Linked DNA regions of Cricetulus griseus. The protein of the gene in region 2 interacts with the protein of the main gene of each other region in a pairwise test. Links are inferred from orthologs where the notes say so. Each region holds a gene or a part of one and is shown on either strand. Other genes may lie near its edges.

The links.
Region 1: the proteins of Cops5 (region 2) and Map2k2 interact in a two-hybrid assay, tested with the Homo sapiens proteins (2 studies listed by BioGRID and IntAct). The link is inferred for Cricetulus griseus from reciprocal best matches to the Homo sapiens genes COPS5 and MAP2K2.
Region 3: the proteins of Cops5 (region 2) and Gfer interact in a two-hybrid assay, tested with the Homo sapiens proteins (2 studies listed by BioGRID). The link is inferred for Cricetulus griseus from reciprocal best matches to the Homo sapiens genes COPS5 and GFER.

Annotation. Positions count from the first base shown.
Region 1 is NC_048598.1:101,893,384-101,903,110, reverse strand, and holds part of Map2k2 (dual specificity mitogen-activated protein kinase kinase 2), read right to left. Parts: intron 7,759-9,727; coding exon 7,612-7,758; intron 4,256-7,611; coding exon 4,178-4,255; intron 3,722-4,177; coding exon 3,670-3,721; intron 3,597-3,669; coding exon 3,472-3,596; intron 3,382-3,471; coding exon 3,168-3,381; intron 1,903-3,167; coding exon 1,838-1,902; intron 1,091-1,837; coding exon 1,029-1,090; intron 474-1,028; coding exon 428-473; intron 1-427. UniProt on the Homo sapiens protein: Catalyzes the concomitant phosphorylation of a threonine and a tyrosine residue in a Thr-Glu-Tyr sequence located in MAP kinases. Activates the ERK1 and ERK2 MAP kinases.
Region 2 is NC_048595.1:150,138,740-150,149,257, reverse strand, and holds the start of Cops5 (COP9 signalosome complex subunit 5), read right to left. Parts: upstream 6,245-10,518; 5' UTR 6,075-6,244; coding exon 5,767-6,074; intron 3,396-5,766; coding exon 3,161-3,395; intron 1,606-3,160; coding exon 1,477-1,605; intron 1-1,476. UniProt on the Homo sapiens protein: Probable protease subunit of the COP9 signalosome complex (CSN), a complex involved in various cellular and developmental processes.
Region 3 is NC_048600.1:44,280,706-44,291,016, forward strand, and holds Gfer (FAD-linked sulfhydryl oxidase ALR), read right to left. Parts: upstream 6,591-10,311; 5' UTR 6,479-6,590; coding exon 6,242-6,478; intron 5,911-6,241; coding exon 5,714-5,910; intron 4,809-5,713; coding exon 4,646-4,808; 3' UTR 4,101-4,645; downstream 1-4,100. Other genes in the region: Noxo1 (NADPH oxidase organizer 1), read left to right, coding at 6,733-6,827, 9,001-9,100, 9,194-9,274, 9,409-9,511, 9,599-9,776, 9,916-10,097, 10,308-10,311.

The DNA.
Region 1 (9,727 bases), on a different chromosome or scaffold from region 2:
TCCAGAGTGCTGGGATTAACGGTGTGTGACCCCACTGCTTTTTCCTTTTGTGACAGCCCTAAACTACTATGCAATCAAAGACGACCTTGGCATTTTAATACTTTTGCCTCAACTCCCAGGGTGCCAAGAAGATGCACTAGTGCTGAGGCTGGCCTCCCACTATGTTAGCGCGGCAGGCATGCGCCACCACACCCGTGACTAGCATGGCTTTCTCTTCCAGGGGCCTAAGAGACAGATGGCGCTTAAGGCAGATTAGGCCTGTGCCATGGGACTGCTGAGGTCTGCCGTAAATCCCACCATGTAAGAGGGCTTCATTTTCCTGTCACAGAAAATCCCTGCCTCATGGATGGCCCGGGCCTCTGGGTGGCGTGAGGTGGCCATGCAGACAGCCCCACAGCACCTGAGCACAGGTCACACCTCCACTCACCATCAGCATCTTCAGATCCGCTCGCTCTGCCGGGTTCTTAATGAGGCTGGGATGAGGGGACAAATTGGGAATGTCACTCATTAGCTACAGTCCAGACATTCTGAGGTGTGTGTGTGTGTGTGTGGGGAGCTGCCTACCAGTAGCCCTTTATTTATTTATTTTTAACTCTTTTTGGGTTCATGTTGCACAGGCTGCCTTTGAACTCACTAGCAGAGGATAACTGTCCTCCAGAGTGCTGGGATGTCAGGAGTGCAACCCCAGCCCCCACCCCCCAACTAAATTTCTAATGAACTAGCGAATGCAGAGGGAGCTTGCAACTCTACTACTCAGCACACAAGAAGCCTGCCTCCTGGCCCCATTGTGTTCAGAAAACACCTCACTACAGCTGACCAAACTTCAAGGACTGAGGATTCAGAGGCTCAGCTAACCACCTCCCCCAACAGATGTCCACTGGGTGGGACCTCTGGGACAGGACCAGGGGCCGTGCATAGGCCCCCAGGTTTGGGGGACACACTGACCCCCAACTGCACATAGTAGCTGGCCCAGGAGCCAATGGCTGGAGTGTGGAGCTGCCTCACCCATCCCCGGGGCCCCACCTCACCATTTATTCACAAACTCCTGGAAGTCCGAGCTGAACACACCACTGGGCAGCTTGGGAGGTGGCTGTGAAGGACAGGGAAGGGTCACTTGGGTGGCTGCAGGGACTCTGGCCACTCAATCACTGTGCTGAGCTTCTCCAGTTTAGCTTTTCAATACCATCAAGTTGGTGGGCGGAGACGCCCTGTGGTACAGGTGGAGCCCTTCCTGTGAAGCGTGGCTCCAGGACTTCCTGGGAGAAGCAGTAGCTGATCTGGAGTCACTGCCAGGAACAGTGGCAACCCTGTCACCCAGGCTCAGTCATAGCTGGCCAGGAGGGTCCACAGCCCATGTTCACCAGTGACTCTTTGTCCTGGGGATGTACATCCACAAATGACCTTGGTTCCTTCTTGAGACAGGCTTGGATTTTTTGTTCCATTATCGGCAGTTTATCCTTTTGAGTCAGGGTTTCGAACTGTAGCTAAGATTGATTTGGAACTCACTATGTGACTGAACTCAAGGCCATCCTCCTGCGTTAGCCTCAGGTACAAGGGTAGTAGGTCAGAAGCAAGCCTGCTCCAGGAGCTCTCTGGACCCAAACACATCTAACTTCCTACTGGGGAAGGTGGGGACCACAGGGGTGCTATGAAGAAACATCACCTTGTGTGTGAGGTCCTGAAGTAAACCTAGCCCCTCATTGGGTGTGCGTGGGGTATTCCAGGTGTCCCTAGCTCACAGCATCTGCAACAGGGCTGTAGTTCCCTCCCCCAGGCAACATCCACAATGGGTCTGGTAACTCCCTGAGAAAAGTTTCCGAAGGCCAAGGGCACACACCTCATTCACAATGTAGTCCAGCAGCTCAAAGATGGCCATGGCAGGTCGGCTGTCCATCCCATGACCTACTTGGCAGGACAAAGGACAGATAACTGGGGGAGACAAAACTTAGAGGGTGCCCCTGCCTGGCCTCACTCCTGCAGGCATATCCCAAGGAATCACTCATCTAACTGGGGGTGCTCCCAGCCCAGTCAGTCACAGCCCCTGGCACTCTTAGGGCTTGGCAGGTGGGGGAGGGGTCTGGTGACTAAGCAAGGACACTGATATGACCTTGCAGAGCAGCTGCTGAGGACATGGAGCAGGGGGCCGACAGGTGGTGAGCCTTGCTCAAGGCACTGATGGCTAGCTGCTGAACTGTGCTGTCCGCCTGTCCAGCCACGGGTGCTGCACTGAGGCTGCAGCAGGGTAGTGAGCTGGCCTGGGTGTCACCATCACAGCTCGCCAGAAGACTGCCCCCCCTCCCCACCACCCCCCTCCCCGTGCCATCAAGGAGTCAGCTGAAGAACATGCCCTGTAATCCAGTGTCAGGATGCGCAGCCAGGAGGGGGCTCTCTGCTCATTAAAGGGACACACAGCAAGCAAGTCCAGCCACACACAGCAACTTCCTATTGTGCTTAGTGAGACCAAGGCACATAGTCACACAGTGTGCACTCCCTGACAGGAAATGTCTAGAGGGGACTGAGGGCCAGGCATCAGAACATGTGAGTTCCTTTAGCTAGAGGGGACAGGTTCTCCCAGCTCTGGATGTACTAACCACTGGGCGGCAGGGCCTCCAAGAAGCAAGCTTCAGAGTTTAGCCGTTTCCAGTCACAAAATGTCCACACTCCCCGACAAGCTGCTTAAATCCTAGCACCTGGCACTCTGCACAGGCTGTCCCCACACCAGGACTCTGCCCCGACCCCCAGTGGCTGAGGTGGCCACTCAAAGGGCTGGATGTCTCCGCAGGACCCCTGGCTTCCTGTGCAGGTGAGGCCCTAGCCCCAGGGATGTCACCAGGTTGAGGAACAGGCTGCTGGCAGTGACTGGCTCCCTTTGCACCCCAGCCCCACTTATTTTCGTGAGGAAATGCTGGGAAACCCAGCAGCTGGCCAATGCCTGCCCCAGAGAGGAGCTTCCGGCCTTCCAGCTGGCAGCAACAGGTGCAGCTGCCTTGGCCTTTAGGGTGAGACGCTCACTGCTTGCAGCTCTGTCCCCAGGAAGCCTAGGACCATCTGAGGACTGCTGACCACAGCATGCCCCGTCCAGAGGACAGCTGGTGCAGAGAAAGGCCCAGCAGGATGGCAGCTGGTCCCATATCTGTCCCTCCCAAGATAGCTGCCCTGTCCCGTACCGCTGATGGGGCGTCCAGGCGGCCTGGGCCTCGGCGAGACACTATGGGGCTCTCCGTCTGCGCCATCGACCACAGGCCGGCCAAAGCTGGCCTCTAGTTCCTTGGCATCAGGTGGGGGGATGGGGTACCTCCCGATGGCCAGCTCCACCAGCGACAGTCCCATGCTCCAGATGTCCGACTGCACAGAGTAATGCGTGCCCTGTAGCCGCTCTGGCTGGAGAGGAGACAGGTACAGAGCTGGGGTTGGCAGCAATAGGACAGGGACCCTACTAAGAATGTGTGCAGAGGAGGCCAGGACACTCACAGACATATAGGAGCGTGTTCCCACAAATGAATTGGCCATGGAGTCAATCAGCTGGCCGCTCACCCCGAAGTCACACAGCTTGATCTCACCGCGACAGTTCACCAGGATGTTGGAGGGCTTCACATCTGGAGACACGGCAAGGGGTGAGGCTGAGCCTGCTGTGGCAGCGTGCACACGCACGCACTCACACCCACTTACCTCTGTGCATGATCTGGTGCTTCTCACGGAGGTATGCCAGGCCTCGGAGTACCTGCAGGGAAGAAGCACGGTAGCCAGGTCAGAGGTAGGTAACCTCTGTGCCGACAGCACCAGCTTTAGGCTGCAACGACCTTCCCCAACCACAGGAGAATAGTGCCATGGCAGCTGAGCGCCACATTAAATACCCAAGCCCCACACAGACACCTGTAGGAAGCACATGGTCACTGTCTATATTTGAAAGCACAGGGCCAAGGGTAGCCTCAAACTCACTGCAATCCTCCTGCCTCAGCCAACTGTTGAGATGACCAGTCTGTAGCCCTATCTGACTTGGAACTCACTATATAGACCAGGCTGCCTGTCTCCTAAATGCTGGATGGGTGCTCGATCCATAGCCAGCTTTGTGTGGTCATGGAGGGGCTAGCAGAGAACCCCAAAAAGATGAGGACTTGACCTGCTCAGTCTCCTAGGGAGAAGCTGCCGGTGGAACACCAGCAGCTGGCAAACTCACCGCAATGCTGACCTTCCCCAAGATGTCCTCAGGGATCCGCTTGGCCTCCTTGAGCACCTGGTCCAGTGAGCCACCATCCTACATGCAGAGATGGCAGCAGCTGAGGAGCTGGCCTTGTCAAGAAGCCCAACCACCAGCAGCCTCGGCTCTCCACAGGTCCCCAGGTAGGGGAGTGGTGTGGGAGGCTGTGGAGCCCTGAACCTGAGTGATGGTGGTGACAGACCACACCTCTACAAGAGCCAGCTCCTTGTTTCAGAAACAGTGGGGAAAAGGTGGTGACACTGGAGTTCTTTGGACAAGATGGGACAGGCCTGACTCACAGCCATTTGCCCTCAGGGGGCTGTGCCCCACAGATCACCAATATGGCTGTTTCTCACACCCAGGGCACCAGCCTGATTATACTCAACAGATAAGGAAATACTGTCCAGGTTGTCACACCTGTGTGTATTTCCAAACTGACACAGGAAAATAGGACCTCAGAAGATGAGGTCAGAAAGGGGCCTCTCCTGTACTCCCCTGCCACAGTGCTCAGAGGGACACACAGGGCAGGTCCAGAAAACCCAGCCGTATCTGGAGCTGCTAGGACACACAGGTGGACTATCACCCAGGTGGCTGGCCTCCCAGTGGGCCTGTGCAGCTGTTTAGAGTCACTGGAGCCCAAGATTGGAGGTGGCCCTGGCTGGGCACTGGGGAAAGGACAGGGCTGCTGTCTACCGAGGGCAGCAGGGGTGACTGCTTCTGTCAGGCCACACTGGGCCATGCGGGGTGCTGAGGAGGGCCTGGCCTATCTGCTGAGGCCTAACTGGCCTCTTCCCAACTCTACACCAGGAGCTCCCTGAGTGTGACAGCTATACACATCCCTAGGCATGGCTGAGAGTCCCTGGGTGTGAGCTTGGATGATCATAGCCTGGTCATAGTGTCCAGGGCAAGATGCATAACTTCAGATACTACCTGCAAGTCCCTGCATGTGCCCCTAGTGCTCTATAGACTGTCACCATCACAGTGTTGTGGATTATTTGTTTAACTATACAAAGATGTGTTGCATTTGTTTATGTTGCAAAATATTTGTTTAACTATGTAAAGATGTGTTGCTGTTTTTCCTTACCTGCCTAAGGCCTAATTGGTCTAATAAAAAGCTGAACAGTCAATAGCAAGAGAGGAGGTATAGGCAGGAAGGACTTTGAGGCAGGGAGAGTAAGTAGGAGGAGGAATTTCAACTTGGGGAGGCAGGACACCAGGGACCAGCCAGCCAGCCATGGAGTAGGACATACAGAATGAAAGCAAGGTAAAGGATGAATAGAAACAGGTTAAATTAAGTTAAAAGAGTCTAGTGGGATAAACCTTAACTAAGGCCAAGCCTTCATAATTAACAGTAAGTCTCCATGTCTTTATGTGGGAGCTGGTTGGCAGCTCAGAGAAAACGCCAACATCACAGACAGCACCACACATTTTCTTTTTTGTTGTTGTTTTTGTCTTCCTTCCTTCCTTCCTTCCTTCCTTCCTTCCTTTCTTCCTGAGACAGGGTTTCTCTGTGTAGCTTTAGAGCCTGTCCTGGAACTTGCTCTGTAGATCAGGCTGGCCTTGAACTCATGGAGATCCTCCTGTCTCTACCTCCTGAGTGCTGGGATTAAAGGCGTGCGCCACCACTGCCCAGCTGTATCAGATATTTTCTTGTGAAAGACTCAAACACAGATGAAGCAGGCTGAGTCGCAGAATCTTCTGCTCTCCCTGACACGCCTCTACAGCTGCCACACACACTGTGGAGGACAGTGTGAGCACCCCAGCAGGCTCCAAGCAGCTGTGTCATACCTAAGGACACACAGCAGCAGCTCCTCTTGTACAGTAAGTAACAGCTGGTTCTGCAGTGGGAGCTAGGAAGGTGGCCTCTGAGAGGTGGTCCTGGTGGGAAGTATGGCCTTGGAAGAGGATGGCAGGACCCCACTTCTCCCTCCCCTTCTTCTTGGTGGGATGAACAGCTCTACCCCACAGGAGCCTTTTCTTAAGATGGGGCTGAAACATTACATATCAGAGACAAGCGCTCTGTGTACACAAGCATATAAGAGGAGACAGAGGTCCTGTCAGCCCAAGGGCAGGCCACAGCACATGTACTGTTATAGCCTGGGTGTCATCTTGCCCTTCCCAAGGTCTGGCTGAATGTGAACCACCATAAAGTGGGACTCAGAGCTGCACCAAAGGCCACAGCTGCATCCTTCTCCCGTGATTGACAGGTTCTCTGGTGTGCTGTCTAGCACAAGCCACTAATAGAGAGGACAGCCCACTGCTGCCTGTCCCTAGGAGCTAAGCAGGTGGCTCAGTCACTGAGTGTAACCTCTGGAGCCAAGCACAGTTTCTGTGGCATCCTAAAACTGCAAGTGGACTAGAGCCAGGACCAGTCAAATGACCACCCAACACCACCCCCAAGCTACCCTTCCTCCCAGGACACACCCATAGCAGGTGATCTACGATTTACAACCAAATTCCATCTGCAAGGAAGGTCAGAGTGGCCTTCTTTTCAATCCTTTCAGACAGGGTCCATATGGTCTTGCACTCCTCTCTTGCTGCCTCTGCCTCCCTAGACTGAGATGGTAAAAAAAATACCACTGCTTGGCTTGGTTTTGTTTTGTTCTGTGATAGTACCTCAAACTCAAGGCAATCCTTCTGCCTCTGGGAGCCTCATATATCAACACAGCTGCCCAGTGTGGGAGGTACCTGCAGACTTGGAGCACTCCTGTAGCACTGTGCCTAGCTGGGCTGCCAGCCACTGTGGCAGTGAGAGTCAAGTTCTTTGACACACAGGATAGAGTCCCCTTCCTACAGAGGACCAGGAGGCCTTTGACGACACATCTATGAAGAGATGGGAGGAGGGGGCCACACACCCGGGCCTGCTCCTCCCTGAGGCAAACAGGGTAGGCTCAAGGGAGAGACAGGCCAAGGCCATGTGAGGGGCTCCCACCAGCTAGGTGCATCTAAGCTCACATTCACTCCCTGCTTCCCATACAAAATGGTCCCCGGGTCTGCACACTGGCAAGGCACAGCTGAGAACCACAGCAGCCGCCAAGCCTTGCAGGTGAGTCTCAGGGGTCTGGCACCTGGCACAGCAGGTTGGGGAGCATGGCAGAGACAGGGTAGGATTCTCACTGTCCCCCTTCCATCCTGCCCAAGTCTGGAGACCCAGACTGTTATCTAGAGAGTGAAGTGCAGGCTCCCATCTGAAGCTGGGGCCCACGTGCCTGAGTGCATTCTCCCCAGCTCAGAGCATGACAAACAGCTACTAGAAGAGGAACCCACTTCCCACAGTGGGCACATGTGTAATGTGGGGACCACATCCTGCCCTGGGTCCCAAAGACCACAAATTCATGCCCCACTCACCACTGCCCCACACCCCCGCCGGGAGCAGTGGGTAAGGAGGGTGGATGGGAACAGAGAGCCCTCACCATGTGCTCCATGCAGATGCTGATCTCGCCATCACTGTAGAAAGCCCCATAGAAGCCCACAATGTAGGGTGAGTTGCACTCATGCAGCACCTGCAGCTCCCGGATGATCTGGTTGCGGACGGCTGGTTTGATCTCCAGATGGATCAGCTGCAAGGGGGAAGAGTGGCTGTTGAGTGAGGGGAAGGGTATTCTGGCCACAAAGCCCCCACAGACCCAATCCTGGGCGTATGCTTGTGAGAAGGGAAGACATCACCTACATGGCCTTACATGAGTGCCCAGGTACCTTTGTTTCCAATGCTTAAAGTGGGGAATATTAGGGTTCCCAAATGGTTGACAGGCACATAGCATGATTGCCCACACACTGGAATATTATTCACCATGAGCAGGAGTGCAGCTGACACTCACAATGTGGTGAGACCATAAGGACATCATGGTCAGTGAGAGACCCAGACACAAGACTCCACAAGAAATGCCTAAAACAGGCAAATCCACAAATGGGCAGAGGATTCATAGGTGCCTGAGATAGGCTAGGGTAACAGCCCCCGGGGACGCAATGCTTTTAGTCTTTCAGTAAAACTGGCCTAAATGAAGATTTTTAAAAAAAGGGAAAGTAAGGCCAGGCGATGGTGTTAGTCCCAAACAAGGGTACTCGGCACTACACCAACATCCATCCCAACAGGCCAAAGGAACACATCGCCATGATGCTCCCTCCTCCCCTGGGTCAGGCAAGGAGAGCATCCCAGCACACACATACCAAAAGGGGTCTGATTCAGGGGGCACCTCATCTGAGGACTTGCTCCAAATGGCCACTTGGGCAGAGCCTGATATAACTGATCATTGGAATGGGCTCTTTAAAAGTCAGTTCAAGCCAGGCGTTGGTGGCGCACGCCTTTAATCCCAGCACTTGGGAGGCAGAGGCAGGCGGATCTCTGTGAGTTCGAGGCCAGCCTGGTCTCCAGAGCGAGTGCCAGGATAGGCTCCAAAGCTACACAGAGAAACCCTGTCTCGAAAAACCCCCCAAAAAAATAAATAAATAAAAATAAAAAGTTAAAACCATGATGGGCATGGTAGTGCACACCTTTAATCCCAGCTCACAGAATGCAGAAACAAGCAATCTGTGTGTTCAAGGCCAGCCTGGTCTACAGAGTTGAGTTCCAGAACAGACAGGGATACACAGAGAAACCCTATCTTGAAAAAAACCAAGATAAAATAAAATAAATAAAACCACAAAATGGAAGCCCAGAATGGGGACACACACTTGAGGACCCTGCCCTCAGGAGGCTCAGGAGTCCAGGTCAGCTTCAGCAACAGAGCAAGAGTTTTGCCAGCCTGGCACAATGGCACACGCCTTTAATCCTGGCACTCAGGAGGCAGAGGCAGGCAGCTCTTTCTGAGTTCAAGGCCAGCCTGATCTACAAAGTGAGTTCTAAATAACCACAACTATGTAGTAAGACCCTGTCTCAAAAATGTTTCCTCAAAACCACACTAAGCCAAACCACAACAGAAAGCAAGTAAAACACATGAGAATGGTATTTTACACACAAAGGATGAGCATCCCTCATCTGTGAACCACAAACATTCTAGAACCCCAAAAGCTGAATCAGGCCTAGTACAGTAGCCCAGACTGGTCTGGACCATCTCATGGCCCTGCCTCACAAACACTAGGCCCAACCAACACCTGTGCTAAGCCCATGCCTTCTGCCTCAGTCCTACTAATTAAGAGTGTTTGCACATGGGCCTGTGGAGTAGGACTGCATCTCTTGGTGCTCACATTACCCGGGCCTGTGGAGGTCCAGGTCCATTCTGAGAACCTTGGGCAAGATAGAAGCGAATGCAGAACAGAGACCCGGAGTGCATCAGGCATTCCAAGTAGGGCAAGGCCACAGATGAGGGAGGCTCTCAGTCACCACAGAGCTTCTTGGATACAGTTAATCTGATGCTGGTGGGACATCACAAGTTCTGAGGTGGAGGAGGAAGCACTGACAGGAATGTGGACAGTGCAGTGAGCCCCCACAAGCATGCCAACCGCCCTGATGAGAAGCCAGGGGCAAGTGTTACCACCTCCATCTTGTGTGGACATCCTGGAGGAGGCACATGAAAGGCTGTCATCTCTTTA
Region 2 (10,518 bases):
TATTTAGTATCATTAAGATATTCATGCTACTTGGCAAGACCATGTTTTAAAACAAACTGGGCACAGGCCTTTAAGCTCAGCACTTGGGAAGCAGACGCGGTGGATCTCTGAATTCAAGGCCAGCCACCTGGTCTAAAGAGTGAGTTCCAGGACAGCCAGGGTTACAGAGAAAAGCCCTGTCTTGAAAAACCAAAACCACCAAGCCAAAACAAACAAGAAACCCAATCAGTCAATTAATCAATCAATCAATCAATCAATCAAAGTAATGAATTAACTGAGAAACTACCTGCCCCTACCTGACCCCTTTAATAGATGAATAATTGTTAGTTTCCTCTTAAAGATCCTAGATTGCATCTAAAACATTCTGGACATAAAAGTAGACAGGATCTAGCCATTTCTGCTTCTCCAGTCAACCCTAATTAAATGCCTATTAAGTGTTGAGAAGCTGACAAAGGTTCTACCCTCATCTATAGGAGTGAGAGATGCAAGGAGCTTAAGAACATCCTTAAGTACAGTGATGCCAGAGAGTCATTCTTACCACACTGTTTTAATTTTCCAGTAGTCTTTCTTTAGCAAATATTCTTGAAAAACTTAATAAAATCTGTTTTTATAAAAAACAAAACAAAACAAAACAAAAAGCTGGGCTGTGGTGGGTATGCTAGCACTTGGGAGGCAGAGACAGGAGGTTCTCTGTGAGTTTGAGGCCAGCCTGGTCTTCAAAGAAAGTTCCAGGACAGTCTCCAAAACCTACAGAGAAATCCTGTCTTGAAAAACAAACAAAAAACAAAAACAAAAACAAAGTAAGCCGGGTGTGGTGGGTATGCCTTTAATCTCAGCACTGAGGAGGCAGAGGCAGGTGGATCTCCAGGAGTTCCAGGCCAGCCTAGTCTACACATCCAGTTCCAGGACAGTCAGAGATGCATAACAGAGAGACCTGTGCCCAGAACAACAAAAATTAAATAAAGTTAAATCCAAAACCAAATTTTGAAGGGCTGGAGAGATAGCTCAGCAGTTAGGGGTACTTGCTGCTTTAGCAGAGAGACCTATGTTTGGTTCCCAGCACTCACATAGTGGCCTCCAACCACCTCTAACTCCAGGAGTTCTAGGGGACCCAATGCCCTCTTGTGGCCTCCATCGACACCAGCCATATGTGGTGCATATAGAGGAGGGGCATCAAATACCCTGAACTGGAGTTACAGATGGTTGCCAGCCTCTGTGGGGGGTGACAGGAATCAAATCAGGGTCCTTTGCAAAAGCAGAGACCCCATTTCTTTTTTTCTTTTCTTTTCTTTTTGGTTTTCGAGACAGGGTTTCTCTGTGTAGCTTCGGAGCCTATCCTGGCACTTGCTCTGGAGACCAGGCTGGCCTTGAACTCACAGAGATCTGCCTGCCTCTGCCTCCCGAGTGCTGGGATTAAAGGCGTGTGCCACCAATGCCTGGTGAGACCCCATTTCTTTAAAAAGAACAAGTACTTACCACCACAGCCACAAATGGTTCCTGGAACTGCTGGTTAAGCATCTGTGTACTAACATCAATTCCAGAGAGCCAGCAGCCGTAACCAGGGTGGCTATGATACCAGCCAATTGCGTTTTCAAGGCGTCCAACCTAAAATATGAAAGAAAAATCTTGTTTGAGGTATGGTTTAATCTCACAGAAAGTGTCATTTACAGGCTTTATGTAGTAACACTACATAAAGATAACATCGTGTAAAGATTTTCTGAATAGATGATACATGTGTACAGTGTAAAATTATCAAGGTACAAGAACAAGGGTATTTAGTCTCTTTCCCATATCCTTCCCCCTCCTCTACCTGTTTCTTAGCTTAGATATTATCCCTCTATTATCTTACGTACTCTTACAGAGATATTCTATAGATTAACAAACATATCTGTAAATAGTTGCATACTACATACAACATTCTACTCCTAGCTACCTATATTTTAAACTGAACAAACAATTCTGGAACTGTTCCATGTAAGTAAATACACAGATAGCTTTTTTTGAGGTATTATATAATTTTTTTTTCAGATTTTATTTGAATTAGAAACAAGATTGTCTTACATGACAATCCCAGTTCCCTCTCCCTCCTGTCCTCCCCTACCAACCTCCTCCAACCTTTCTGTTTCCCCTGGATGGTGAGGCCTTCCATAGGGTGTCATCAGAGTCCAGATAGCTTATTTTAAGAAACTAATTTATTTTTATTTTATTTTGGTGTTTTTCCTGCATCTTTATCTGGGTGAGGGTGTTGGGCCCTCTAGAACTGGACAGTTGCGAGCTGCCAGGCAGGTGCTGGGAACTGAACCTGTATCCTCTGGGAGAGCAGTCTTTGCTTTTAACCACTGAGCCATCTCTCCAGCCCTGATAGTTGCTTTTTTTTTTTTTTTTTTTTTTTTTTTTTTTTTTGAGACAGGGTTTCCTGTGTAGCCCTGGTTGTCCCAGAACTTGCTCTGTAGACCAGGTTGGCTTTGACTCAGAGATCTCCCTGCTGCTGCCTCCCAAGTGCTAGGACTTTAGGCAGTGCATTCACTTCCACTGCCTAAAGAGCTTTTTTTCTTTTCAAGCTTGCCTACATAGTACATTAATAGATGCCCTGCCATTTATTTAGCTGGGTTTCTACTGAGGAATAATTAATTCCTAAATTTCTTATTTATTAGTTCATTAATCCATTCATTTGTTTGAACTCAGGGCTTAGGAAGGCAGACATGAGCTCCACCACCAGTTACACCTCCAGTCTAACTTCTATTGTCTAAACACAACTGACACTGACTGGAAATTTATTTCAGAAAGACACCCTCTCCCCTGTCTGCCACTATCTATATTATAAATCTCACCAGACTTTTAATATTTTACATAAAATTGTTAAATTTAAAATATGAAATTGAATGTGAAAAGGACACTTTTAAGTTCAGAAACCCAGAATCTTGAGATTCTTAAGAGTTATTAAAGTTTTTTTTTAAAGATCTTATTTATTTATTATGTATACAACATTCTGCTTCCATGTATATCTGTACACCAGAAGAGGGTACCAGATTTCATAACGGATGGTTATGTGGTTGCTGGGAACCGAACTCAGGACCTCTGGAAGAGCAGTCAGTGCTCTTAACCTCTGAGCCATCTCTCCAGCCCGAGTTATTAAAAGTTTAAGCAACAATATTTTTACCTGTTTGGCATTTTCTATGTACGCAGCCATGTACTCATATGCAGCAGCCTGAGCATTTACTCGGGTCTCAGTGCCTTCTACAGGCAAAGCGAAACTGTCCATGATGATCATGGTCTCACCATCCACTTTCCCAAGCATCAAACCCATCACTTCCAAGTTGCCTCCTGATCGGGCATGCATCACCATTTTCAGTAGGGCCAGCGCTGAGATTTTGCAGTATTTAAAGTAATGGTGACTACAAAACAAAAGTCACAATGTTATTAAAGTTTTCATTTAAATTACAATCTCAAAAGACAGCTTCTGTGAAAATAAAGAATAAGTACCAAAGGGATTAACAGTGATGGGAATGCCAAATGTGGGAGGAAAAAGAAAACAGCAAGTACTAGGTGCCTGGAAACAGCACATCAGAGGTTGTAACCCATCACCCCCAAGTAAAGAGTCTAAGGTAATTTTTAATTATACTATCGGAGGGAATACCATCAAATTCCATAGTTTTTTTTCTCCATTAACATGGGATTATCATATCTCTGGTTACTTTCTCAGGCCTAAATTTCTGTGTATGGTACATGTTCATCGGTGTGCCACCAGATGGCATATGGAGATCACAGGGTGTCCCCCCTCCCCTTTTTTTTTTCTTCTGCTTTTTGAGATAGGGTTTCTCTGTGTAGCCCTGGCTGTCCTGGAACTCACTCTGTAGACCAATCTGGCCTCTGGACTTTCAGTGCTGGAATTAAGGTGTCTATTTCAGCACTTACTTATTGCCCTTTATTTTATTCCACTTGATTCCCTCGGGACAGATACTAACTGGAAGCTGATTGTTATGCCTAGGCTGGAAGACCAGTTTATAGATCTCTGCTCTCCTTCCATCCAATGCTAAGGATAACAACATACATATCCCTGCATGTGTTTATACAGTTGCTGGGGATTTGAACTCAGGTCTGCATGCTTAACAATTAGCACTCTTACCCACTGATCTGGAGGACCTAAAATTTACAAATGTGGCTTCTGAAACTGATTCGCTTAGGTTTAAATCTTGGCCAATTAACAGCTACATAAGTAGGTATTTCTGTAAATAGGTATTTCACAGTTAGTATGAAGAGTACATGAAGCGCTTAGCTTAGTCCCTGCAGCACTAAAATCTAAGGTGCTGTTACCAGCCTTACTAACCCATCTCTTAACATACCCTCAGTGTGCTGAAGCTGTGGCTTCCTTGTGATATCATCGTGAAGGTTAAAAAGTAGATGTAATATCCCCACTTTTCCTGTGATTATTTTGTCATCATTGTATGGGATTAAACTATTGAACAACAGACACATTTTAAAACCACTGATGTAGCTTACGTGTTCAGATGAGCATAATTAGAGGAAAGTCTACAGTTTACATCAATCTAAAATGTGCCTTTTAGGAACAATATGTAGGTAATCTATGCAGGTCACTCAGCATCTCCAAGGCTTTTCCAGCTGCTGCTAGATTTCAACCACAAGCTGAAAGATACTGAGACCTGGTCTTGGAAACCAAGACAAAAATTAAAAAACCGGTTCATCTTCACTGGAGAAAAAGACAAAGACAACTATTACTGTGCTCTCATTACATAGGCTCATCTAGAACTTTTTAATAAATTACCTCATAACATCACCAATAGCTAGGCTTGTTTTTATCTTACAGATAAATTTAGATATTTTAGTTTCCTAAGACCAGTCAATGTTTTAATTGACAGCTGTGAGACCTGATTTTCAGTCGGTTGCTCCTGGGTTCATTGCTATAGTATGATCATGAGGTGAATTTCTGAATGTATTTGCTTGTTTTCCTATTTACTGAAAAGGAATCAAAGTACAGTACTGGATTTTCATGATTACTAAAAGACATGAGAATCTTCAGGCCAGTGCCAGGCTCACATTAACTACTCAATAAGCACTGTGAAATAGAATAGACAGTGGAAGCTAGCTTTGTTAAGACAAAAAACCTGGAAACAGTGATTTGTTTAGACAGCATCTTTTTTGTGATTTTTTTTCAATGTCCTTAACACAATCTGTTCTAAAGAAATCTTTTGACTTGTCATCAGTCCCAGAGATACATGGATTTGGCTAGCTTTAAACCCTATTTCATAATTCCTGGTTTACATGAATCGTTGTAGTAGTATTTTAGAGAAGTGGTAAGGGACTTGGTATGTCCATAAAATGGTCACAGAAAAAAAAACTGCTAAAAGAGCTTATGGCTTCTTTGTTCTGAGATCAGTGGCCTGCTCATTTGACTTCTGAAAACAGCTGCGCTCTTCAGTTTGGGATTCACTGAAGGCTGCAACAGGGTGCATGTATCCACCAGGTTCAAGACAGAGTGTGGGAGATTTATAAAAACAATCCTGTTGAGAAAGTGATACCCCAAGTCAGTTCTTTACACCCTCTGGAACAAGTCTGTTAAAGAAACTTTCTGAAAGGGGAATCGAAGCAGGCCCCAGAGGAGGGGTTAGGCTCTACCGACCCGATAAGGCAGACTAAAAACACCGTGGCGGGTATTCTGTCGTCGCCCCCCAGAAAGCCACCCCGCTTGGGTCTCTTAAACTCCCGCCATCCCTTCCCTCCCTTGCGTCTCGCCAGGGACCTCCTCACTCCTTAGTCCAGGGTTTCGCCGCCAGGATTTCTTGCTGTTGTTTCTTGTCGTATTTGTAGATTTCATCGATACTCTGCGCTTCCTGCATGTTGTTGGCCAGTTCCCAGGTTTTCTGGGCCATACCACTCCCGGAAGCCGCCATGGCCGAGGGACCGGAGAAGTTGTCGCCTCCACCACCGAGATGCAACTTTCCTTCGCTGGGCCTCCGCGTGCGGGCTTTGCACCTTCCCCACCGAGGGTGCACACTCACTAGCCTCTCAAGGCAGCCATGACACTTAGGACCGGAGGTGACGTTGGTCCAGACCATTCGGAGGGTCGGGGCGCGTCGGCGGCGCGGCGGTACAGGGACCGCCGAGAGGCCGGTGAGCTAAGAACAGCTTGTCGGATGAAACGAGGATATGCTGCCTCATAAAACTGTGTGTGTGAGCTGAGAGGGAGACAAAGTTTCGGGGTGGGAATGGTTCAGCCTTCCGCGCCGGAAGAAGGGCTTGTTGACATGCCAGGAAGCAATCGGCCGTCCCTGCCCGTACTGCGCAGACTCAGCCTCCGCCATATTGAGAGTGGGCGGAGACTAGGTCTCGGACTTTTTTTTTTTTTTTTTTTTTTTTTTTTGTGTGTGTGTGTGTTTAGTTACTTCAAAAAATAGTTTTGATTACTAAATGTTTCTAGGAAAACCGAGGTGTAAGTAGCTCTGGATGTTGATTTTGGAGGGGAAGTTAATTAACCGTGACAATCTCTTTTAAGATAATTCTTGGCGTAGTGGAAAACCTCCCGGGTTTGAGGTTATTATTTCGCTTTTGTGTTTTCGCTGTTGTTGACCGGAGGGCAGCAAAAGTCCCCGGTTGCTAAGGTTAACTTTTTGACGTGTTTATAAAGTAACATGTATACAAATGTTAGGAGCTGTGGCTGCCTTAGTACTCTATTTTCATATAAAGTTTGTCTCCAGCTCTTGTGAACGTTGTTTGTTTCAGTACAGAATTAATCTCGGCTGTTTCTTTCCGCGGTTAAAGTGAAACTTGTTCCAGTCGTCATTGTTTTTAGGTTTTCTTCCCTCTCATTCCCAACCTCAAATGCTCACTAGGTTAGAAGTTAAAGGCATGCATGAAATTTGTGTTTGTTTTAATACTAATGTAATTATTTTTTGCTTATGAAAAAAAAACATAGCTCTTTGTAACAGTTCCTACAGACTTCTTCAGCGCCACTGTCTCCTTTTAGACACCCCCCCCGTCAGCTTTTCATTCTATTAGTACTTTTTCCTTGGCTTAGTAATATAATTCGTTGTTAAGTGTTGTTTGAAATGCACTTCCTGATATTTCTACAGTAAGGCACACACTATTCTTTAAAAATCACAGCTCAGAGATGCCTTCCATTAACTCTTTGAAAGCAACTGCTCCTTCCACAGGACCTCGAAGGCTTTGTAGCCGCTTGACATGGACGTTTTGTTTTGCCCAGCAAGCTTTGTGTTGTATCCTCTTTTATTGCAGGTTTTTAGCAGACAAGTTAGCTAAAAACAAAAACAGATTTGTTAACTCTTCGCCACAGCTGTTGGTGTTGACACTGGTTTCAGAAAAGATGGAGGAATTGGCTTTTTAACTACCTTCTAAAGTCGAGTGTTGTTGAACCTGCCTGTAATCCCAGACGTTGGGAAGTGGAGGCAGGAGGATAAGATAGTTCAAGGAAAGCCTTACATACATAGCAATTTGAGGCTAGCCTTGTCTGCAGGAGACCCGTCTCAACAAGTCACGGAGGAGGGGTTAAAAAAAAAACAAAGCAAGAACCAAAGAACCATATAGGACGTTGTTCCACTCTTGTAATCCCAGTACTTGGGAGGTGGAGGCTGGAGAATCAAGAGTGTGAGCCCTTCCCCCGGGCCAAAATAACAAAACCCAAGTTAAATAGAACCCCCTTCCAGTATAACTTAGGACACACTAGGGACGTTAGAATACATTAGTTGTATCATTAGTTCCGTTTTCCTGAGAAGCTAGACATCCAGCCACTGAAAACGTACACAGTGTAACTTGTTGAAATGGTAATGAAAGCCCAGGACAGAGTTGACCGGACCTGCTGGGCTGGGAGTAATGCCTGTGAGAAGAATGCTGAGAGTCCTCCTGTCAGTGCCACACAACCCGTGACAACTGTGCAGGCCTTCCCGTGCTGGGCGTCTGGGATAGATTGATCCTTGCAGCGGCGGCCACGTTACATTACCCACACCCCCATCCCTGACACTGTAGCGAGTGCATCGCGTGGCCTCCGGGACTGCAGGGGGCGCCCTCGGCCGCGTGGCCTCGACCCGCAGCCCGCAGGGGCGGGGCCGCGCCTGGCGGTTGGTGGAGGGCGGGCGGGGGGCTGGGCCTGGGAGGCGGAGCCAGAGCGGGCGAGCGGTTGCTTGGTCAGCGCCGGGGGTCGCGGTCGTTGACCGTGGAACCGGGTGCGGCTCCCCACGCGTCGGTGGGAGTAAGTCAGTGGGTGGCGGGCGTGGGAGCCTGCGGGTTGGGTCCGCGCCCGGGTCTGGGTGGCCGCGGCTTGGCGGGGGCTCGAGCCTGCCGGGCGGAGCAGGGGACCTTCGCGTCTTCGCGGGGGCGCTGCGGAGGGGGTCTGGAGGCGCGGGTCGCGAGGAGGCGGCCTGGGCTCCGTCCCAGGTGCGGGTCTCGCGGCTGCCAGTCCGGGGGCGGTGCCCTGATGCAAACGGGCGGTGGACTCCCGGGTAGCTGCCCGACCTGCTGCCCCGGGGTGGTTGAGAGCCGGTTGCCTGACAACGCGTTGACGCTTTCCGAGACATCAGCTACCCGCGACGCCCGCAGACAGTGCTGGCTCTCCCGCGCCTTCTCTCTCAGGCAGTCGCGCCGCGGCTGCGCTAACCCAGAGTGCTTGCACCTCCGGGGCTGGTTAATGTTTTTACACTCTGCAAGTCAGACTTCAATCTTCTCCGTATCTCAATGAAAACCTGCTGTGATTTATTTCTTCTTACTGTGATTGCTTGATGAACTAGAACCGTCTATTTCTTGATTTTAGTATTTTTATTTGGAATTTGAATATACGTTTTTGTTGTTTTTTTTTTTGTTGTTGTGTGTGTGCGCGCGTGTGTGAGCGCGCGGGGTGGGGTGGGGTGGGGGTGGAGCTCAGGCCACGACATGTATGTGTAGGTCAGAGGACAAAACTTTGGATTAGTTCTGTCTCCTTCCACAGGCTTTATAGAAAACCAGTTACACGAGAAGAAGTTGAATTTTATGTGGAAGATGACTTGTCATGTTGATATGCAAAAAGGAGCCCCGAGTAAAGTAGGGGGAGACACTGTCTTTTTTCCCCTTATTTTTATGTGAAATTTCCGGTGTGAAGTATCTGCTGACATGCTCCCATTGAGAAGATCTTTTGGATCTCCTTGCCCAGGGGTGATCTGGGAAGGGAGCAGATAGGTTTAGATAAAACAAACACTTTTCCTCGAATGTGGTTTTCATAAAAGCTTTGCTTAACTATTACAAACTTGAGCAAATTCCATACTATCATTTTGGTTGTGAGCCTAGCCTTTGATGGTTGAGCCATCTCACCAGCCCTCCACAACTGGGTTTTAAACATCATTCTGAGTATACTGTCATGTACTTCCTGAGTAGTAGACCCAAGAGTTTGAGTAGGAGACAGAAGTGTATTAGCAATTCCGCATAGCCAAAGCTACTTCATGTATGCCTGCCGTAACTGTTAAGGGTGTATTGATAAAAGCTCAAGCTTTAAATGCTGTCATGTATTTATTCACTCCCTGTTCTCCAACCTCATGCTCTTCCCTCAGCAACATAGCATATGCTTTTAAGCAAAATTTGGAGTGATTTGTTAAAGTTTGGATGTACCTGTAGTCAGTTCATGTGAATGTCATCTGCTAAGGAGAAGACAACTGTGAGGCCCTTTCTTGGTGGGTTGACGAGGAACTTTGTCTTTCCTTTTGTCTGCTTATAGTTCTTTCACAGGGGCCTTCCCTTGCTTCCTGCCTTATTTCTCTTATTTCTCTCTGAGGCTCCGTTCCCTAGTCCTCTTTTCCTGCTGTAGAGTCATTTTCTGCAGGCTGACCCCCCCATAGTTTTAACATTTTTGGGGGTATGATATATTTGAGATAGGGTCTCCCTATATAACCTAAGCTGTTATTCACACTTCACCCTCCAAAGTACTGGGATTATTAATGAGCCACCATACCAAACAAAGTCAGCTCCCCACCAGGTGTTGAGGATGGAATCTAGTGGCTCACACCTGCTAGTCAGTGATATCCTGACTAAGCTACAACCCCAGCCCAGTAACAAATAGACATACATACCAAAACCCAATGTCAACAACAATAAGAATGCTATTTTTTGGACAATGTCTTGCTATATAATATGATCAGGCTATGCTGGGACGTACTATATAGCTGATGAAAGCTCCGGACATAATTAAATTGTTGGTATCTTTACTGAATCCTTTAAAACTATCTCATTTGCTTCCCAAATCCCAGACTGACTAATCTGTCATTTGTGGCAGGGGATGTGATATAAATAGTAAGTCAAGGATCATGTATTTTATCCACCTTCTCTACAAATCTAGCATCCCTTGCAGTCTAGAATATATCCTGGTTTACAAGGGGAGTCATGTTCTATTTCTCATGCTTTCATATTGGGGAGAATATGTGTACTGTCTTACATTTCCCCTTGTGTTGACTTGGATTATGACAATCAAGGATCAGGTAATAATGATTTAAATCTCACTATACTTTACATCTAAAGCCTTTCCCT
Region 3 (10,311 bases), on a different chromosome or scaffold from region 2:
CTCCTCTCTCACCAAAACTCCTTGATAATGTAGTCATGTAGTCATGGAAAATGCCACAGCATGGACATGTCCCTCGAGAGCAATCCACAAGTCAGGACCAAAAGAGTCTTGCTTCAGTCCACGAGGTCTTGGGGGGAGGGGCTGCCCCACCCTGGGAACCGCCCTCCTCCAAGACAGGCATGGAGATTAGATGAGTGCCCGCTGGACAAAATCCAGAATTTGGCACCCATCTCCTAAATCTTCTGCCCTAGGGTTTAGGACAGGCAAGACATGCATGAGTGGGATAGATTACCCCCAGTCTACAGCTTCCATGCCATTTCCAGGAAGCCCTCCCAGATGAACCCCACCTAACTATACCAGAGGAGCCCCCTTGCCCTCCTTCAACTCACAGCTAGACCTAACTGGTCTAGGAAGGACCACCTCCCTTTAAATGAAATGAACCTGGTGGATTTATGATCTGGCAAAGGGAAGGAACTGCGCATTCCTCCTTGGTTACCATACCCCCCTCTCCCATCTGGAATTTAGTCCCTGAACCCCTTGGAGAATCACATTCACAACCCTGTGCGCGCTTCCAGGTTTTGGGAACCGGAAAAACGAAGAGAAGGCTGAGGAAGGGGACTGGATTAGACCTAAGGATAAATTGAGGGCTGGGGGAGACCAGCGGTGACCTCTCAAGGTCTATTGGTAACAGCCGGCCCTTCCCCCGCCCGCAGGTGGGCGCGCCTAGCCATGTGACGTCACCCCAACCTGCGGCCGGGGGAGGGGCTGGCGGAGAGGAGGGTGAGGGGCGATGGGCAGGGGGCTGGTGAGGGTGGGAGACAGGGATGTTAGGAAGATGGGGTACTGGGAAGGGGCTTGCTTAGGGGCCACTCACCCAGGACACGACCCTCAACAAGGTCTGGGGACGCCGCGCGAAGCTCACGGGATCCAAGGCAGCTCCCGCACGGCCCGCGCCGAAGGAGGCTCCCTCCATGGCGGGACCTGTGCCTTCTGTCCGTTTGTCCCGCCGACCTGCCCGAGACCGCCCGGGGCTGCTGCTGAGGCTGCTGAGGCTGCTGATGCTACGGATGCTGCCGCTGCCGCTGCCGCTGCCCCGCCTCCCGGGAGCGCGCGTCGGCTGCGGCGGGGGCGCGGGCGGGGCCGAGCCAGCGCCCCCGACTGGGTCCACGCGCTGGGGGCCTGAGCCCTGCCCTCCGTCCTTCCTGCTCACCGTTCCCTGTATGACAGAGTCGGAGATGAGGACATTCTCTGGAAGACTAAACGAGGTTTAGTCATGGGTTTTAGAGGTAGACAAGAGAAGGTAAAGACTGACTGAGCTCAGATCTTGCCACGGCCAAGAGCATCGATAGGACAAACACATCATCCTGCTTTTCTGACCAGGAGGACCTTTTGGTGAGAATGTAATGGGAAACTGAGGCATAGTATCATGCCCTTTGTATTCAGGGAGAGAGACCCAGCCCCCAGCCCCTAGTCTTAGAAGACCGGGGGTAAATCACTGGGGGCCTTTCTCATTAGCCCTTTAATCATGAGAGAAAATCAAAGAACACCTAAGGAAAGAAGACCCTGACCTCTCTCTGGCTGTGAATGAATAAAATATCAGCTCAGAGATGTTGTACACACTTGTATTGCCTGTGGCTCACATCCCCACTGCATTATGGCTTCTCCTTCACAGGCTGTACCTTCCTAACAGGGTCAGGTGAGAAGAGTGGTGTCTGCCTTCAGGGGAACTTGTCTGGGAGGCAGACAGGGTCCACTGTGGCCAGCAGGAGTGAAGGGTGAACATCTCTGTTCTCTTCTGGCTGGGTCATGTCTTCCATAAACTCTCTCCATCTCTGGTCTCCAGGATTGATCTGTAGCTATTTAATCCTGAGTGCAAGGAGGGGAGAAGTAGCAGAGATAAGATCTTGTCCCAGATGTTATCTAGTTACCCTGGCCCCTGCTGGGAATCCCACAGACCCACTTTATGCTCTTTCAGTGCCAGGATGGTAGGAGACCGAATGGCTCTACCTTCATGGTCACAACAGAAGCTGGGGTATAGTAAAAGATCATGAGTGAGACCCCTAGTTGTCTCTCTGTCTTCCCTGGGACCAGAGCCAGGTATAAGCAAAGTTTACACATATTAAGACTATGCAGTGCCAAGCACTTCACTGTGACCTGTTCATTCGTCAGAGGGAAGTGTAGCTGGAAGTACCTGGTCCAGTCCCTCAGGAAACCCACTGGTTCTGGTATGAAACACACTTCAGCCTAGTTGGACACAGATGCAGTCCATCAGTTTGGGCAACTCTCTGATACCTCAAATCACATTCCATCCCATCCTCTTTTAGCCACGGGCAGAAGATGTTACCACCCATTTCTCCCTTTTCCTTCATAATTTTCTTCAGCACCCAAAAATACAGCACATTCTTTGAAAAACAGTTCTTTTGGGCTGAGAATATAGCCCAGTGGCAGAATGCCAAACAAAAAACTTTTGGTTACACTTCTGTGTACAGGAAAAAAAAAAAAAAAAAAAAAAGCTATCTAGCTGGGCGTTGGTGGCGCACGCCTTTAATCCTAGCACTCGGGAGGCAAAGTCAGGCGGATCTCTGTGAGTTTGAGGCCAGCCTGGTCTCCAGAGTGAGTGCCAGGATATAGACTCCAAAGCTACACAGAGAAACCCTGTCTCAAAAAAAAAAAAAAAAAAAAAAAAAAAAAAAAAAAAAAGCTATCTATTACCCATCTATTTCTAGTATCTCTCTCCCTTCCCCCCCTTTCCATCAAAACCCCCAGTATGATCAAGCCCCTACCCTGCATCTGGCCAGGCACTTCCACCTGCATTTCAGAATCAAGTTTGACTCTCCTGGTTCATCCATACAGCATATACCTCCAATGACTACCTCATAGCCCCATTCCCATTGCTGGGAATAAAACCCAGGGTATTATGCATGCCAGGCAAGCATTTCCCTCTGAGCTACATCCCTAGCCATTATGAACTTCTTGAAAGTCCCTTTTCTGTCCTCCATTTGCCAGATCTGTGGGCTTGTGGGGCCTTGGGACCCTTCTCCCTCGGTTGACAGGGTCTCACTATGTAATGTTGGGATTAAAGGTGTGTGCCATCATGCTGCACCCTTAATTCCTTTGTGTTGCCTCTCGTGCTCTGTATGTGCTGGCAGCTCTCAAATGCCAGCTCAAACTATAACCTTCCTTTACACTAACTACAGTTCTACTTGTCTTCTCCTGGATGCCCTGTGAACAGGGACAAAATGAAGGTTTTGATTTTTTAAAAATACATGTATTGAGTTATTGGTTTCCCCTCTCTCATTCTCAGGTCATTCATACTGACCTGGAACTCAGTATATAGACCAAGCTGGCCTCAAACTTCACACAGAGATCCAACTACCATAGTCCTCAGTGCTAGGGCTAAAAGTAAAGACATTTGTATGTGTTTTGAACCAGGCAGTGGTGGCACATGCCTTTAATCCTATCACTCAGGAGGCAGAGGCAGGTGGATGTCTGTGAGTTCCAGACCAGCCTGGTCTACAGAGTGAGTTCTAGGCCAGCCAGGGATACACAGAGAAACGGGGGCGGGGGGGGGGGGATCAACAGACAGGGACAACAAATAAATGTTAAGAGTGCTTGGCCTGAATGTATTTGTGTGGGCTTTTGTACCTGGTACCCATGGAGGTCAGAAGGTGTTGAATCCCCTGGGACTAGAATTGCACATGGTTGAATCACTATGTGGGTGCTGGAAAAGTAGCCAGCACAAGGAAGTCATGTGCAAGCTAGTCCTCACCCACAAAAGGGCCAACACAGGAAAGAATGATATCTTTATGCTGAGAACTGGGGCTCCCACTGCTGCTGGGATGCTCTGGTTGGGAGCCTAGCCCAAGGACAGATGGAGCTGAGCAGATTCAGAAGAGCCCAGCAACTAGAAGGTGTACACTCAGAATCCAGAAGCCCCCTTGTCATCTTCAGCTTCTTTCTCACCATGAAGAGCTTGTCTCAGCTGCTCCATAGTGACTTCTGCCAGAACTTCAGACAAGAGGACCCAACTAATCACAGACAAGCAAAAGCAGGCCTGTCCATCACTGTAATTCCCAGTACAAAGCACACAGAAACCAGGCCCTAAGTCACTTCATTTTATTTTGGTCTCAAACTCTCAGAAGTTCAGGATCATCTGATCCTGGATCTGCTGACAGGCATGTTGTCATAGCTGTAGACCATGTGCCACAGGCAGTGGGCAGTATGGTGGGTACACCCTAAGTAAAAAGTCCTACTAGAGCTGGGGACAGAGTACAGAATAGACAACTCAGTACCATGCTTCAATTCTGAAATGGCACAGAGCTGCCAGTTCTGTAGGCACCCCTGGTTATGCAGTAGGAAGCCAATGGTCCACCCCATCTTCCTACGGGGCAGCTATGTCCCAAGTGTATAATGGGCAAGAGGCTGCATTATAAAGGGTATAGGGTAGCCTCTCTCATCTCTAGTCCCTGGGCACCTCCCCTTCTTAGCCCTGTGGGTAGGGTTCCCATTGGCAGTGTCCTAGGGACCCCTCTCCAAACACGGGAACAAGCTTTGGCTCAGATGCACTTTAATCAGCGGGCTGTCCCTCCAGCCAGGTTGCCCATGGACCCTGGCTAGATGTCCCACATGCTCTGCTCACAATCTTCTAGTCACAGGAGCCGTCCTTCCAGCCGTCACGCCATCGCTCATCTACCTTTGAACAGTCAAAATCAGGCTTGCCCAGCTTCCGATTCACCTCATTGTGCAGGCGGCACAGCCACTGGCTGAAGGAGACTCGAGTGCTTGTGTCTGGCTGGTTCCTGCCTATCCTTTGTGACAGAAGCACAGGAAGAACATAAGATGTTGACTCCTTTGTCCTTGCTAGGGCCCAGGACAGAGAGCTGGGGCACTGCTTTGAATTAAACTTGGGGATGCCTCTATGCTCTAGGGGGATGTGAAAGCCAAGAGCAGGGTTGACTCTGGAGTTTCCTGGACTTGTGCAACTCCCAGGGCTGCTCACTCGCTCACTTGACTTGGCAAGAGCCCAGAATTAAGATTATAGTAAAGCAGGCGACTTTACAACCTTGTAACAATCAGGGAGCCTCACCCCATGGTCTCTAGCCCCAGGCAGAGTATAGACAGGTGGGGCCTGGCACAGTGTTTCTTGGCACCAGAGGCCTAGTTCAGCAAGAGATACCCTTCATTCCTAACTACCCAGGCTTCAAATAGCAAGTGCAAGTGCCTAATAGGTCCAACCTAGAAATACCTATAAAGAACAGATTAAGTTAAGCCAATGAGTGAACCAAGTTTTTTTTTTTTTTTTTTTTTTTTGTGTGTGTGTGTGTGTGTGTGTGTGTGTGTGAGTGTTGGCTAGACCAGGCTGGCCTCGAACTCACAGAGATCCACCTGTCTCTGCCTCCAGAGTGCTGGGATTAAAGGCATGGGCCACTAACGCCAGACTTTCATTCCCATTTTTAAAATCGGTAACCACACCGAGAGATTAGAGAAGTTAAGCAACATGGAATCTTAGCTAATCTTCCTAAAAATTCTAAGGCTAACAATTCACAGACCTAGGCTCTGAGGAGGAAGGAGAGGGCTCCCATGACCCAACATTCGTTTGAGTGGTCCCTCTTCTAGCAACCTGTCACCTCTGCATCTATTTTTCTAGTCCCCTCTCTATGGCATCCGCCAGGCCCCTTTCAGGGCCTTACTGGCAGAGGTAAGGCACACTTACCTCTTCCTTATGTCTTCCGCACACTCCTTGCAGGGGTAAAACTTGGAAAATATATGTATGAACTGGGCCATATCTCGCTGTTGTTCTGGGGTGGGCATGTCCGGGTAATAGGCGGCCAACGTGTGGAGAAAAGCCCAGGTGTGGCGACCCAATTCCTCCCGATCCTGCGGACAGTCCTCCCTAAACTTGATGTCCCGCTGCAGAAGTAGGCCGACTACGGGTCAGTTCATTCTTCCCCAACCAGAAGCCCACAAAATTCCAACCCAGTGGCAGATTGCTTGTGTTGCACGCCAGAGGCCTTGGGTTCGGATTCCCAGTATCACCAAAAGAATAAAGGAAACAAGAATGCTCCCCTTTACAGTTGGCAGCCTAGTAAACTGATCGGCCAGCCAGTGGCTGAAGGCTCAAAGTCCGACCCTAGGGGTGTGTGTGGGTGAGGGGGTGGACATGTTTAGGCATAGCCAACCCTGAGGAAACCCGGTGTGGGGCGGGGGACCGGGACTGGGCGGTCAGGCGGGGTATCTGCACCTTCTGCTGGGTCCGCATCCACGACTTGAAGTCCACGCAGGCTCGGCACGGCGGCTTCCCGTGCTGCAAACCTTGCGGCCCCGGGGCTGAGGCAGAGGCCGCGGCGTCCCTATGCCCGGTGCGGCGGCCCCGCGCGTCAGTCACCAAGTCGTCTGTCATCTCAGAGCGCGCGCCGCCGGGCAGGAAGGAAAAGAGACTGCTGCGAGAGGCGCCCTCGGGCTCGCTGGGCGCCGCCATCTTGCCGGCGTACAGACGGCGGGGCCAAGAGGGCCTCCAGAAGGCCGGCAGGGCGAGCGCGCACGCCACTGCCAGCGCGCGGCGGCTGGAGCGGGAAAGGCGGCCGGGGGCCGAGCTCACGCTGGGGAAGGAGGCGGAGCCTGGCGGCGGGGCGGGGCTGGGGGTCGAGGCGGCGGCCCGGGTCTCGGCGGAGTCGGAGGCCCCGGCGCCGGAGGAGCCGGAGCGGGAGGCACGGGCCGAGGCGGCATAGGGGGATGCGGCTCGGGCTCTGGTTGTCCGCCGCGGGCCGGGCGTGCGTGGTGCATGGGGGAGCTCGGGTTTCCTCCCGCAGTGTAGTGAGTTGTGGAAGGTGCGCTGCGGCCCCGCTGGGAGGTCGGGCTGAGACGAGGTCTGAGATGCTTCTCTCGTCGCCCCCATCGCTCGGTTCAGACCTTTACCCGCTAGCGGCCAAGGTTGGGGCCTTTCTGGCGTACAACGCGCCCACCTACACGCTTCTGGGTGCTTGGCAACGCGCGGCGGGGCGTGGCCTCACAGAGCAGGCAGCGCCAATGGCCTGGGTCGACTTTTGCCCTAGTTACTGGGCCCCGCAACTTTGGGAGAGGCCTGGGACGCGTCCTATAACATTGGCGGGGGGAGGTTATTATGCCTATTTCAGCCTCAAGAATTCCTTTTTTTTTTTTTTGAGACAAAGTCATGTAACTTGGACTAACTTGGAATTCTGTTACGTAGCTGCCACCTCTTCTAGTACGTGACTTAGAAGCCTGGGCCATCACAGGAAGAATTCTTTTCCCTCTTCCATGTGTTCATTTATTCATTCTGCAAATATTTGTACAGTGGTACTCTGCTCCAAGCGCTGTTTCCGGCACTGAACAGAACAAGGAACAAGCTTCCTTCCCTAGCCTCTTTAGCCTTTGACCAGTAGTGAAGATGGGGAAAACCCAGTCACAGAAATAAATTTTATTTACAAACTGATGAAAGCTGGGTATAGGGTGTGGGAATATAGCGCTCCTAAATTGGAGACCCTTAAGCACAGGCCCCATAAAATGAGAAATCAGCTCAGGCTATCGCATTTTGCAGAAGCACCAAAGGCCACTGGGGGCAGGACTCTGGGAAGGTAGGAGGCCAGGATCCAGAGCTGGGCAATGGCCCACCAACCATGCTAGAAATTGGGATTTGTTCTAAAAGCAGTGGGAGACGTTGGGCAATTTGGGACAAAACTGTCTTGGCCTGATCCCATTTCTACTTTGCAAGATTTCTTCTATTTTTGTTAGAGTGATATTTTTGACAGAGTTTCTCTGTGTAGCCTTGGCTGTTCTGGAATTCGCTCTATAGGCCAGGCTGATCTCAAACTCAATAGATTCTCCTGCCTCTGCTTCCCTCCCGAGGGCTGGGATTAAAGGTGTGCAGAAGCAGATCTCCGTGAGTTCAAGACCAGCCTGGTCTACAGTGTGAGTTCCAGGACAGTCAGAGCTACCCAGAGACCCTGTCTCAAAAAACAAAAGTGTGATCACCACTGCCCAGCTTTTTATTTATTCTTATGTGCACTGGTGTTTTACCTGCATGTATGTCTGTGTGATGTCAGATCCCCTGGAACTGGAGTTACTGACAGTTGTGTGTTGCCATGTGGGTGCTGGGAATTGAACCTGGGTCCTCTGGAGGAACAGCCCAGTGCTCTTATCTGACTCATCTCTCCAGCTGGGTGGATTAAGAGACAGGGAGGAACTTCTTACTAGACAGAGTTGGGGCTCCTCTGTGTACATCTCAGTGAGAGTAAGCAGGTGGGTGATGAGAGGGGCTCACAATTCCTCTAGGTCCCTAGTGGTAGGTACTCAACCCTTTACTACTGCTCTCATCTTCCATTGTCTCTGAAATAGCCTGTATGTAAGAACCAGTTGCTTAAGGAGATGTCAAGGTTTGGCCAAGGAAGGAGGTAGGTTTCATGGCCTAGTTACATGGGTCTCAACCTTAGCTGCTCAGGAGCCTGAGGCAGGAATATCCCAAGTTTAAAGCCAGCCTTTGCAAGTTAGCTAGCAAAACCCTGTCTCAACCCTCTGCCCCCCCCCCAAAAAAAAAAACCTAACTTAAAAGGACCCAGGTGTGAAATACTTGATTCAGATGATAGCAATGTATAGCCCCACAGGCAAATTCAAAAATCAAGCTGTTAGACACACCCTGGGAGTTACAGCAGGGTGGGGGAAGAGGCAGAGGGGGCAGGTGAGGTTGAGGCGGTACTTTAGGAGGAGCTGCCTACCTCCATTGTTCCCTTGGCTGAGGGAGAAAAGGAGCCCCAGGTGGCAGTTCCAGCCCCTTAGAGTTCTGTTTCAGTACAAAGGGCTTCATTTTTTCCTCCTACCTGCCCTGGCTTACCCCTCCCCCTAGCACAGTCCTGCTGTGATGAATTCTCTTAGATTTTGTGCTTGAAGAATAACCAGGAAACTGAAAGGTTTCCAGGTGTGTATGCTCTGCAGGGACAGTTTAGGGCAGTGTTGGGAAATTCCACTTCACTTTTTCCGGCTGCTCAGAGCCCCTACAAGCACCCTGCAGGAGGCCACAACCATGGCGGGTCCTAGACACCCAGTATCAGCGCATGCTGTAGCCCTGGTGCAGATGGAGCGACTTCAGGTAGGACCATACAGCCCCATCCTCCGCTACAAAGAGGCAGAAGGGTAGCTGACAAAATCTTAAGAGAGACGGAAACTCAATCTTCCCTCATAGACATTTGCCTTCTCTGTGCACTGGTCAGACAACAGTGACTCGTCTGTTCGCCGGAGCTGGGATGAGTTTAGGAAGCTCCAGGTAAATAACATGGGACTATTTCAACAGGGTGGCTCATCCTCCAATCCAGAGGCCAATAGCTACATGACCTCCCTTCCTGCCTGTAGCTCTCTCAGGGACTCTTTCCTCCCTTTGGGGGTTCTCTCCACTTTCAGGGACTGACACCCATTTCTTCCCCTCAGAAGATCCTTAAGAAAACCTTCCCAGTGGAGGCGGGCCTGCTCCGGAGATCTGAAAGAGTTCTTCCCAAGCTTCCTGGTCAGGCTTGCAGGGGTCACAGGGGTGGTCACAGGGGTAACAAGTGTGGGTGAGAAGTCCCAGTGTGTTCTTGTGACACCCGGGCAGATGTTCCACTGCTGACACGTCGGGGGCATACTGGCCGAGGTCTGGTACGTTTGCGACTGCTGGACACCTATGTACAGGCACTGCTGGCAACCTCAGAGCATGTATTGAGGAGCTCAGCACTCAATGACTTCTTTGCACCAAAACCTCTGGATCTGAAGCCCATGCTGCCTCCTGGCAGGTGACTAATGTACCCTACTCCCAGCCCATGTTCTTGTTGGAAGGGCAGATGAGAAGCTGGGCTGGCCTATGTATAGATGGGGAAGGGGAATTCCCATCCTTTCTGCTTGTTTCTCACGTGTGTTGGCTGCCCTGCCCAGCCTGGTGATCTTGCCCACACAAGAGGAGCCCTTATCCCAACCTGGAAGCAGCCTTGCCATTCATAACCTGGAGGCTCAGAGCATGCGCTGTCTACAGCCTTTCTACACCCATGACACAAGGGACAGGCCTTTCCACACACAGGCTCAAGAAATTCTGGACGTATTACTACGACATCCTTCAGGTAGAACCACACAGTATTAAGAACCTGGGGAAAACTGGGCAGTGGTGGCACATGCCTTTAATCCCAGCACTAGGGAGGCAGAGGCAGGAGGATCTCTGAGTTCCAGACCAGCCTGGTTTACAAAGCAAGTTCAAAATACAGAAGACTTGCTCTCTGATCAAGATGGGTGCAGGCCTTAGCATTTAAGCCCTTTCCTGGCCTCTTCAACAGGCTG